Caenorhabditis elegans: one gene and its partners. The protein of the gene in region 1 interacts with the protein of each later gene in a pairwise test. Each region holds a gene or a part of one and is shown in the gene's direction. Other genes may lie near its edges.

Region 1 (3,755 bases):
GGTTTTTGAACGTATTCCTTTTCTGCAACTTTTAGTCTCCTGCTGTTTACAAAATATTCCATTCAGCCGAGCTGGAACGACCTTCACATCCCTTTTAACGCGCCATGGATCCTGTCGTGTATGCATTTAGTAACGGGATTGTCCTTTTCCAAATAGAATAAAAATCGATCTAAATTGAATCATACTTCATTTCCAACTATAATCAAGTTTCCATTAAATCGATCTATTTCTTTTCAGTCGGAGTCAACGTTGATTTGATCAGCTTATCCGCAAACTGCACCTTCTTTCCATTGGGCTTCTCAACAATTTTCCGCTCTTCTGGGACTGTTAATTTGGATATTCCTTTCTCGGATCTGAAATAATTTACAAATAATTGGTTAAAATTTCAATTAAAAAAACCAACCCTGCAGCTTTTCCTAATTCCATGTTAATAACTTGAGTATGCTGTGAATCCGTTTCAGTTTTCTTTTGCAATGTGGTTGCTTTTTGAAGGTTTTTCTTTCCACGAAGCATTTTTATAGAGTTCTGGCTGAAAAATAGAGTTTCAAGTAAATTTGTTAGCTTTTCAATTTTCATTTGAGGGAAACAAAAACTTACATAACACTTTTCTTACTCTTTGTTTCTTCTTTCGGTGGCTCTGGTTTTACCATCACACTATCTTTTGGTATTGCAGTTGTTTCAATTGGAGACACAATAGAAGTCGACGCTGATTTTTTTGTACTGGAAACAAATTGTATTTTGTGGCACAGAATGGGTGAAATTAATTATTCCACAGAAAGGATTGCACTAAATAATAAACAAACCGAGAATCTGCATTCTTCGTTTTTGATCCTCCACCTTTTTGACTGCATAATATCAAAACTCCAGAAATCAGTGATATAATGAGTGCCATTGAAAAGATTTGTGATTTGAGAAGTATCAGATGAATATAGAAATTATTCCAATTTGAGAGCATAGTTGGAAATCTCACCAAATTTTGAAATTTGAAAATGAGTTAGTAATTTTTGAACAATCTGCCAGAGATTAATTAAAGATAAGGAATATCCACAAATTACAAATATTGGATATTAAATATGATTTCACGTCATAACTGAGATTTGTATAATATCATAATTGTACGGAAATATTTAGGTATTAGTATTTCAGCTCACAATCAGACTTTTTAATGAAAACTTAATTCAAAAGGGGATATCTTAAATATCATTACAAAACCTTGTTAGCAGCAGAACTAGAAAGTTTAAAAAAACACCGATTTGTGGTGCATAATGTACAAACATCCATTGACAACATTTCTTTAAAAAATAATTTTTTACTAAAACATTTTGAAGTCAAAATTAAATTTTTTCAAAAATAAAAAATTTACGGGCCTCTAAAGTAGTGGAAAATGCACAGCAAAGTATTCAGATAGACTTTTTTCTTGTTCAAAATGCACCTTTGCCACTAAACCGAAATTCTTGCCTTGTTCATTAATTGTTTCAAGTTTGTAGGATTTTTAGAACTTTGAAATATCTAAATTATTTGTATTCTGAAAAATATTATCATTTCGCAACAAAAAACTAGAAGCAGAATAATTTATTGTGAATCTTGCTATTTTTTATAGTTTGTGAAATTTTTTATACTTCCACATTTCATGAACAGTTTGGTTTGGCCACATGACTAAGGCGTGACCCACATAGAAAACATCAGGTGCCTTTGAAGCAATATTTCACATCTTCGCAAAGCTAAGGTCATTGTTATTTTTGCCATTTCATGACTATAATGGCATCATTTTATTCCCCCAATTTAACCAAAAGTCAGATGCAAAATGTTGAAAGTGTTGCAATTTCAAAGTAGAAAATGTAACTAAACTGTCAAAGAAAATTGTCATACTTTGACCAGAAACCATCTCCCCATCCACCTCCCCTCATCGGAGCCACCCGCCAATCCCAAAATGGTACCTAACATTACTGACACTCTCCCGCACTCAACAATTGACACCTGTCTCAATGACTGATAAGCATGCTGAGTCTCTTCAATCCGCATGGTCTCTAAGCTACTTTCAGAATTGCAACATGCTGCGATGGACATCTTGTCGAAGTTTAAGAGTATGTATAAAAGGACACGAGCTTCATGTATTCTTCACTCGGTCACTTAGATCGATCAATCACTATGAAGTTCTTCATAGCGCTTGCTCTCTTGGGAGCGGCACTCGCCTCGACCCATTTGGATCGTTACAACTCCATCGAGAGAAATATTCAAGAATCGTAAGTTACTTTTTAAATCATTTTTGAGAGTTGACCCTTTTTATATTTCAATTATTTTCAAAAATATCAATCACATTGTACTCCTTTTCAGCTCATTCCGCGCCGGACGCGAGTACCGCTACCTCTTCAATGGCCAGCTCTCTGCCGGACTTCCAGTCCCATCTACCCCACAAGGAATCTCACGTCTTCAATCTCAAGTTACCCTCCAATGGACTGATGGAAACACCGTCCGCATGCAACTCCAGAAGACCCGCTTCGCAACCTCTCAGCAAGAGTCCAACTCCATGAAGATGCTCCCATTCGAGCGTTTCGAGGAGGTTGAGCGCATGAACCGTGAGCACCAAGAGCTTTTGAGCATGCCAGTTGAGTTTGATTACGAACACGGACTTGTCAGAGAGATCCGTTTTGCTGAGAACGATCAGCCATGGTCAGAGAACATCAAGAGAGCCGTCATCAACATGCTTCAAGTCAACATCCTCAAGAAGGAGAAGTACGAAGGAGCTGAGAAGAGTGACAACCAAGAACCAACTTTCTCTTTCACCAATGTTGAGGTAAGTTCTAAATATACATATATATTTGAGTTCGAAATTTGAATAATTGAATTTCAGCGCACCCTCGAAGGAGAATGCGAGGTCCTTTACACCGTTGAAGAGATCAAGAAGGAGGATGAGCAACGTTGGGCTAAGTCGATCAACTTCGACAAATGTACCCGCCGCCCATACATCCATCACGTGCAGACTCCAGTGTGCAAGGATTGCCAGCAAACTCTTGAGCAAGACAAGATGAGCTCCACAGTTCTCAACTACAACATCACTGGAACTTCATCAAGCTTCCTCATCAACTCCGTTGAACTTCGCTCCCAACACCTTTTTGCCCCAATCTCCGAGAAGCATCAACTTGTTTCTGCCTTCACCTTGAACACCATGGAGCTTATCTATGCTGGAGAGAAGAAGACCGAGATCAAGCAAGTCCGCAATGAGAAGACTTCCGAGCTTGTCTACAACCAGGAATCCGAATGGGCTGAGCAACAATGGGCTCAAACTGGAGAGGAGAAGTACCTTAGACAACTCCCACAATGGACCGAGAACAAGGTCGAGATGATCAAAAAGATGTTCTCTTTGATGGCCAAGCAAATCGAACAAGGAGAGGCTGAGCTTGAGGCTGCACACACTGTTGCCAGAATCGTCAAGGTTCTCCGTGAGTGCAACGAGGAGCAACTCGAACAAATCTACCGCCACGTCGCTGAGCACAAGGATGAGAAGATTGCTGAGCAACTTCGCTCCATCTACTTCAACACCCTTGCTCTCGCCGGAACTCGTGTCACCATTCAACAATTCGTTGACAAGGTTCAATCTCGCAAGAACATTGCTCCACTCAAAGCCTCCGTTGCCATCAAGACACTCGTCGACATGCGCTACCCATCTCTTGCTATTGCTGAAGATATCGCTCGCCTTTGCGAATCCGATGTATCTTCAAGCTTCCCAGCTCTTCGTCAATCCTGCTGGCTCACCT
Region 2 (3,755 bases), on another chromosome or scaffold:
CATACTATTCGGGGACAAGTAAAAATATCCAAAACTCGAAATTTCTTGGCTTAACTGCTCCCGCAACAAATCAATTCGGTGCCATTGCATAGAATGACATTCTTTGTGAAAATCAAATTGATGGTAACGAACAAATTCGATATTTGCTTGTCGTGATATTCTCTCCAGTTCTCCTCCAACTTTTTTCTCTCTTCCTTTTTGATTTACAAGATTTACAATCACATGTTTACCACCATAGTGTTGCTTGTGCCACGAAAAAGCTCGATTGAAAGCAGCAAGCTGGTCATCTGTTGGTTTCAGTGTAGGCATCGGTTGCCAACGTAGATTTGGTTTTTGAGTCCAGAGAAGAGGAATAGAACCTCTCAATTGCACAAACGAAGTCAGGTGCTTGTCAGGATTCGTGTATTCAACGATTTGTTCTGTTTCAACAAAGTTTGCTGCATGACCATCTACGTCGACTCCACGTTTATAGAAACGGACGCCAGCACTGAAAAATTGAATTATACTAATAGTTTTTTTTTCAGAGAAAACTATGAAAAAACATGAAATTCGTACTAAAAAGGTTAATAATTATTTAAAACTAATATATCTTGGATTCAGACAAAACATTTTTGTGAAAAGCGAGCTCGTTGTTAGAAGTATTAATTTTTTGTCCAGAAAATCGAAATAAACGTTTTTTTAATTATTACAAATTTATTTAAAACATTTTTAAGTAAAAAAAATTACCGATAAATGCTTCTTCTGGATATGATAGTCAATTTAATCTCTTTTCCATTCACATTCACACGATTCTGGCCAATAAAACCATGAATAACGGGCAATGTGTATCTTTCTGCACCAGGGACCTGCCGGATCTGTGACAGTAGATGTCCATTCCATATGAAACGTTCGCTGGCTCTGTCCAACATACTTCTTGTTTTGAACAAAGGAACAGCGTTCTCCTGAAGCCATTGAAATGTGCGTGAGATGTCAAGAGTCGTCGAGTAGTAGAATCCGCCAATAGACAGCACATGAGTGAGCATATCAGTGAATAATCTATTATATCTAATTTGTTTCTCAGTCAAGTGAAGTGTTGTTTTCTTGTAAGGAATAATCTCGGCATCTTGAATAGTCCAGATGTTGTGATTATTAACTTGTCCGATCAAAGAAGCCTTTGTTATTACGATCAAAGCATATCCTGAGACTAGTTTAATTGTTCCCAAAATCCCATAAATAAACTTGATGTCCGTATCAGCAATTGGAACTCGCTGCTTGCGTGAATCTGTAATTATAAATTTATATTTAGATCAGACCAAAAGTCAGACTTACCAATAATTTTCATCACATTTGTGTGTCTATCGATTTCGAGATAATGTTTCGACGCAGCACCACCGCCGAGATCGGTTGGTTCTAAGAAGAATTTTTCTGGGTGTGAGTACAAGTTGAAACTCTCGTAGATGTCCATACTCAATAGACTATCCACCATTTTGGAGAGCTGAAAAGGGAATGAAGTTTGTTGTGGAAAAAAAATATGAAAAAGAAGAACGACGCATGAAAACAAAAAAATCAATAAGAGATACAACAATAGTGATAGAATACATGAAACATGTTTTCTTTGAATGCGAAAACGTGGAAACGGGTGACGACACTCCGTCTTTCATATGGGAGCGTTGTTTACCGTAAATCTACACAGACATTATTTTAAATTAATTGTATTTTTATTCTTTATATTTTTATACTTTGTGAACGTTTCGTTTCTTAAAAATTGAAGAATAGTGGTGTTTATATTAAAATCTCTCAGTCCTGATGTAAATGTGCATATTTTTAATCTATCTCTCCCACTCGGCCACCACCATGACGAAATACTTTTCTGCCATCCTCCTCCCACTAATACATTATTTAAACTGCTGAATCTTTCGAAATTGCATTGCATCATTAAAAATGATTTTACAGAAAATGGCGCTAACTAATCGACTTTTAATGAATTCGTCAGCTCTTCTAAGGTAGGCCGATAAATTAAATTATTGTGAGGGGGGCAATTATATTATTTAGAAGTTCAACGCTCCCATTAGCTGTGACATCATCACGACAGGCCCATGCTGCACATAATACTGTCATCAATTTTGTTCCACAGCAAGAAGCGTGGGTTGTAGAAAGAATGGGAAAGTTCTACAAGATTCTTGAACCGGTAACATTTCCTAAAAGGTAATTAATAAACCAACTTTTTCAGGGACTCAACTTCTTATTGCCTATCATTGATAAAATCAAATTCGTTCAAAATCTTCGTGAAATTGCAATTGAGATTCCTGAGCAAGGAGCCATTACAATTGACAATGTACAACTCAGGCTCGACGGAGTTCTTTATTTGCGTGTTTTCGATCCCTACAAGGCATGTGACGCCTGTTTTTTGATTCGCCTGTAATTGAAAAATAACACTTCTTTGTAAATTGCAGGCATCGTACGGAGTCGATGACCCAGAATTCGCAGTAACTCAATTAGCGCAGACAACGATGAGAAGTGAAGTTGGAAAAATCAATTTGGATACAGTATTCAAGGAGAGGGAATTGCTCAATGAAAATATTGTATTTGCAATCAACAAAGCATCAGCACCTTGGGGAATTCAATGTATGCGATACGAAATCAGAGATATGCAGATGCCATCAAAAATTCAAGAAGCTATGCAAATGCAAGTTGAAGCTGAGAGAAAGAAAAGAGCCGCGATTTTGGAATCAGAAGGAATCAGAGAAGCTGCCATTAATAGGTATAATATTTTTCCAATTACACATTTCATTCAGTAACATCGTGAGAGTTGTAAAAATATTCTAAATTTAAACATTTCCAGGGCCGAAGGAGACAAGAAATCAGCTATTTTGGCGTCTGAGGCTGTTCAAGCCGAACGTATCAATGTAGCAAAGGGAGAAGCAGAAGCAGTAATCCTTAAAGCCGAATCTCGTGCCAAAGCTATTGAACGTATTGCATTGGCTCTTGAGAAAGATGGAGGTGCAAATGCTGCTGGATTGACCGTTGCAGAGCAATATGTTGGAGCTTTTGGAAATCTTGCCAAGGAATCAAATACTGTTGTTCTTCCGGCAAATCTCAGTGATCCAGGAAGTATGGTTTCTCAAGCACTTGCTGTTTACGACTCATTGAGCAATAAGAAAAAGTGAAAATGTTTTGTTTGAGTTTATGTGCAAGCGTAGTTTCCGTTTCTCCATTTTCATATTTCCCTGTTTCTAAATTTTGGTTTACTGGTATTTGAATGTAATTTTACATCATCTTTTCAAAAATCTCTTGATTGTTCGTTATTCTAAATTTTCAGCAGATGAATTAGTTGAATTTTCATTTGAATTCAATTTAAAATGCAGATAACATGATTTTCAGAGGAAAACTGTTTAGTGAAAAATTTGAAAATAATAAACAAAATTTTCTTTAAAAAACTTGATCAACATTGAAAACTATTCTTGTAATAAGTTCCATTAGCTTTCAACAACATCTCACGAAACTGTGGAAAGTAGGAAAGCCATTGAGAATCTGGATTATTTCCTGTTTTATTGGTTTTTATCATTTCACGAACGCAAATTATCGTTCCAAAATCGAAGTTGGCGGTCACTTTGTTTGCTGAAAAATCAATTTATTTATAAACATGAATGTTCAAAAATCACCAATAACCATCGGACTTTTTGAAAGTTCTTGTAGAAATTCGACTCCAATTACACATATTGAATGCCTTAACCACTTGGATTTACAATCTTGATATAGTCCGTCGGATTGTTCAA
Region 3 (3,755 bases), on another chromosome or scaffold:
AGAAAATTGCAACGAGGTACCTGGGAAAGAAAATTGTTTAGAAAAACAAGGAGCTATTCGTTTTGGAGACTGAAAAATCAAAGAGCGACTTGGTAGGTAAACTAAAATATTTAGTTTACCTACCAAGTCGCTCTTTGATTTTGAAATATTTAGTTTACCGCAGAGAAAATTATTCTACATACATCTATTTTTGCATCACTTGCGTTTAAGTCTACAAATGGAATTTGAAATTTGTAAAATCCTTGAGGAAATATGGCACTTTCAAGGAAAATGAAAATCGGAACGTTTTAATTTTTCAAAAAAAAATCCAATTGAGCAGAATATATAATTATTGAAAATATTGATAATCCAGTTCTTGATCTCTAGCAGCTGCATAAGACCTTCTTTTATCAGTTTCCTCGTAGCTTCTTCGGAGTTCCCATTGAGTTCCAGAATCTATTGTTGAACTGCTAATTGTTTGAATTTGTGAGTCTTTCTTTGTTGGCTTCTTTTCTGGTTCAATATTTGAAGATTTCTTTTTTCTTCCAACGAATATCCAAGAAACACAACAACAGCAACATACAAGTAAGAGAAGAACAAGAAGAATTACTCCGATTATTCTGAAAAAAGTTTAGTTTTCAAGATGTTCCTGTTTAAGATGTTCCAAATTAAGAAATCCAAAATTTCATCCCCTTATAGGGATGTTCTGAGAGATGTCTCATTCTACTACAGATGCTCAAATGAAAACTTAAATTTCTTCTGTGGATTTATATGACTTAGATGTGGATCTAGTTAGAGCTACTTTACAAAAAGCTTACATGGGTTCTTGTCTAAATCTCCAACAACAGTTTTCCAAGAACTCTCCACAACATTCATAATATGTGAAGAAAGAAGCAGTTGGACACCTCCTAAACGAGAAAAACGGAATTATTTGCCAATTATAATATTCTCCAACTTACATTGGAGCAGGTCGTGGTGAGTTAAAATACCACGGTCGGCGGCAAATGACGTCATTGTATGATTGAGATTTAACTGAAACAATTCTTTGACAAGGTATTTTAATAAAATTCATCATATTTTCCAATAAACTTGAAGCTAGGTGAGAAATATGGCTTGTAGCACCGAGATCGTGTCGAGACCCACTCAGAAATCCAGCGTGCGCCTTTCAAAATTAAATGGAAATCTCTAAAAAATGTTTATAGGTGAATTTCATCATACTATAGCGCCTTTTGAACTTTGAACTTTTAAAATTGTCGAAACTCACCATTTGAGATCAGAGTTAGATTTAAAATCAAAACGAATAATTTAAAGAGAAAGTGCATACTTATCGATAAAGCAGTATAACACAACTTTTCTGTCGACAAAGCTTGGAAGTTGTAGTGTCCAGAAAGCAAACATACACATATTCTCGCATAAGTTTCCTCGGCCTGTTGCGCACGTCTGACTCATATTTATTCATTCTAAACATCGCCCGAATTTCTGAAATTCTAAGAAGTACAGTAACCCGAATGGTCTCAAGGTAACCTATCTCCCCTTGAAATTAATTCAAGTTTGAATGAGAATTTTGCATGTTTCAAATTTTTCGTGACTCTCAATAACTACTGATTCTTGAAGTCTACATTACAGGCTATTAAATTAGAAATCGTAGGCCCGATTTTTATCAAAGTACCGTACCGTGTGAGTTTCAAGGGAGGCACGTTTTTGGGAAATGGTCTTGCGACGACATGGCAAGAATTGTTATTTTTTAAAGCGCCTTTTTCTGTTTTTGATTTTTCCCAATAAGTTTTTTATTTTATTCATAAAATATATCTTTTACATCTGAAAAAGCAAGTTTCTGAATGACAATGAATTTCTGTCGAAATTCAAATTCACAGCCGCACAGTTTTCGCGCCTAATTTGTCTGCGTCTCTTTACCGCGCACACTGTTTCGTCTACAACACTCCAGTGTTTCGGTACGCAGGTTGCCGCCAAAATTGAGTTTTGAATTTTAGGTGTCTTATTTCTCGTCGTTTTCCCGCATTCTCATTGTTTTCCTCTTCAGATTGCACCGACTTCCTGAATTTCTAGTTCTCTTTCTTACTTTTTCGATTAAGAAAGTTGCCTTAATTCTTTTTAAATCAATTCTTTCAGCATGGACAACATTATCGGCGGTCAAGCCCAGCAAGTGGAGGACACCGACGGAACTCGTGTGCAGAACGAGTTTTCCAAGTTTTTGAAGAGCTTCAAAGACCAGAAAAATGAGTTTATCTACAAATCTGCGATGAAGGAGCTCGTGCAACCAGAAAAGAATACCATTTTCATTAACATGCAACATCTCTACAAGTTCAGTAACAATCTCGCAACAACTATCGAGCTGCAATACTACAGGTAAATTAAATTCGATTAGTATTTTCGAATACTTATAAATATACTTCAGGGTCTATCCATTCATGTGCGAAGCTCTACACTTGGCCACTTTAGATGCTTGTGATGAAAGTGAGAGACAGCAAATGTTCAAGAAGCAATTGTACGTTTCGCTGTTCAATCTCGATGCGAAAACGAAAGTTCGTGAGCTTTCTGCGGACAAAGTCGGAGGCCTCGTGCGCATTGCCGGTCAGATTGTCCGAACTCACCCAGTGCATCCAGAACTTTCACGGGCTTGTTTCGTGTGTGAGGATTGCGGTGTTACCACACGTGATGTTCAACAGCAGTTCAGATACACTCAGGTATGCGGAGATAATAATTAGCTTATAACGAATTCAAATGTTTTCAGCCAACTAAATGTGCTAATCCTCAATGCATGAATCGTACCAGATTCAGTCTCGATGTCAACTCATCTACTTTCGTCGACTTCCAGAAGATTAGAATTCAGGAGACTCAAGCAGAGTTGCCTCGTGGATCAATTCCACGTACTGTCGATGTGATTGTTCGAGGAGAAATGGTTGAAACTGTCCAACCAGGAGATAAATGTGACATTGTTGGAACTCTTATCGTCATTCCAGATATTGCTCAATTGAGCACTCCTGGACTTCGTGCTGAGACTTCAAATCAGAACAGAGGTAAACAATTTTATTCGAAACTCATTTCTTAGTGGAAGTAGTTGTCGCAGATACCTTGATTGTCTTCTTTTTCGCTGGTTTCATACAGAAAACTCTTTCTCGAACAAAATCCATATAGATTTTTCTGGTAACAGGGGTAAAAATGAAGTATACTAGAAATACATGGCATGGCACCTGAGCTAGTCGAAAATAAGTGAATGCGAGCTTTCCGTCAAGCGAAAGATTTCCAAAGAGTTCCTGAAAACTTGCATAGTAAACGCTATTTCGTTGAATTTATACCGGAACAACTCGTAGAACAAGACTTGTTAGCTCATATACAGAAAGATAGAAAGCAGTGATAAAAGCTTGAATCATAAGCATTCGTTCAGTCTTCTTTTTCGCTTTTAAAACATCCGAAGGCATTGATGTAAACTGATCTCCATTCCCACGTCGGAACATATTTTTGATCTTTGTATATGTTGGTGATCTTTGAAGTTTGAAGTTTATAATAACTAGCACATTGAAAAAGAATGCTACGAACGGAAAGAATACAGAGTAATAATTGGAGAACGTTGTGATCTACAAATTAAATTATTAATTTTTGTAACACAGATATCATCCGTAGATCTACTTTACCTGATGCCTGTCTGGTGCACATTCAGATATGAATCCAACTTTTCGTATATCATAATTTATCCGACACTCACTCAGATAGGGAATAATAAGACATGCGAAATTGGCAGTCTGAAGAATAAATGT

Evidence for each region.
Region 2: the proteins of vit-6 (region 1) and stl-1 interact in a two-hybrid assay, tested with the Caenorhabditis elegans proteins (one large-scale study listed by BioGRID).
Region 3: the proteins of vit-6 (region 1) and mcm-6 interact in a two-hybrid assay, tested with the Caenorhabditis elegans proteins (one large-scale study listed by BioGRID).

Annotation. Positions count from the first base shown.
Region 1 is NC_003282.8:8,259,025-8,262,779, forward strand, and holds the start of vit-6 (Vitellogenin-6), read left to right. Parts: upstream 1-2,148; coding exon 2,149-2,243; intron 2,244-2,334; coding exon 2,335-2,794; intron 2,795-2,851; coding exon 2,852-3,755. Other genes in the region: K07H8.7 (Lipoprotein), read right to left, coding at 224-353, 404-529, 598-720, 804-955. UniProt on the Caenorhabditis elegans protein: Precursor of the egg-yolk proteins that are sources of nutrients during embryonic development. May play a role in cholesterol uptake. May be involved in thermotolerance.
Region 2 is NC_003279.8:9,486,207-9,489,961, reverse strand, and holds stl-1 (Stomatin-like protein stl-1), read left to right. Parts: upstream 1-1,932; 5' UTR 1,933-1,935; coding exon 1,936-1,982; intron 1,983-2,031; coding exon 2,032-2,167; intron 2,168-2,209; coding exon 2,210-2,368; coding exon of another isoform or gene 2,369-2,372; intron 2,373-2,432; coding exon 2,433-2,740; intron 2,741-2,821; coding exon 2,822-3,146; 3' UTR 3,147-3,317; downstream 3,318-3,755. Other genes in the region: sacm-1L (Phosphatidylinositol-3-phosphatase SAC1), read right to left, coding at 1-487, 727-1,261, 1,309-1,465; gly-21 (GLYcosylation related), read right to left, coding at 3,422-3,597, 3,642-3,755. UniProt on the Caenorhabditis elegans protein: Mitochondrial protein that probably regulates the biogenesis and the activity of mitochondria.
Region 3 is NC_003281.10:9,792,258-9,796,012, forward strand, and holds the start of mcm-6 (DNA replication licensing factor mcm-6), read left to right. Parts: upstream 1-2,109; 5' UTR 2,110-2,110; coding exon 2,111-2,346; intron 2,347-2,395; coding exon 2,396-2,684; intron 2,685-2,731; coding exon 2,732-3,017; exon of another isoform or gene 3,018-3,038; coding exon of another isoform or gene 3,039-3,254; intron 3,255-3,296; coding exon of another isoform or gene 3,297-3,575; intron 3,576-3,632; coding exon of another isoform or gene 3,633-3,740; intron 3,741-3,755. Other genes in the region: R10E11.9 (uncharacterized protein), read right to left, coding at 329-599, 798-887, 939-1,011, 1,244-1,301; srxa-10 (Serpentine receptor class XA 10), read right to left, coding at 3,039-3,254, 3,297-3,575, 3,633-3,740.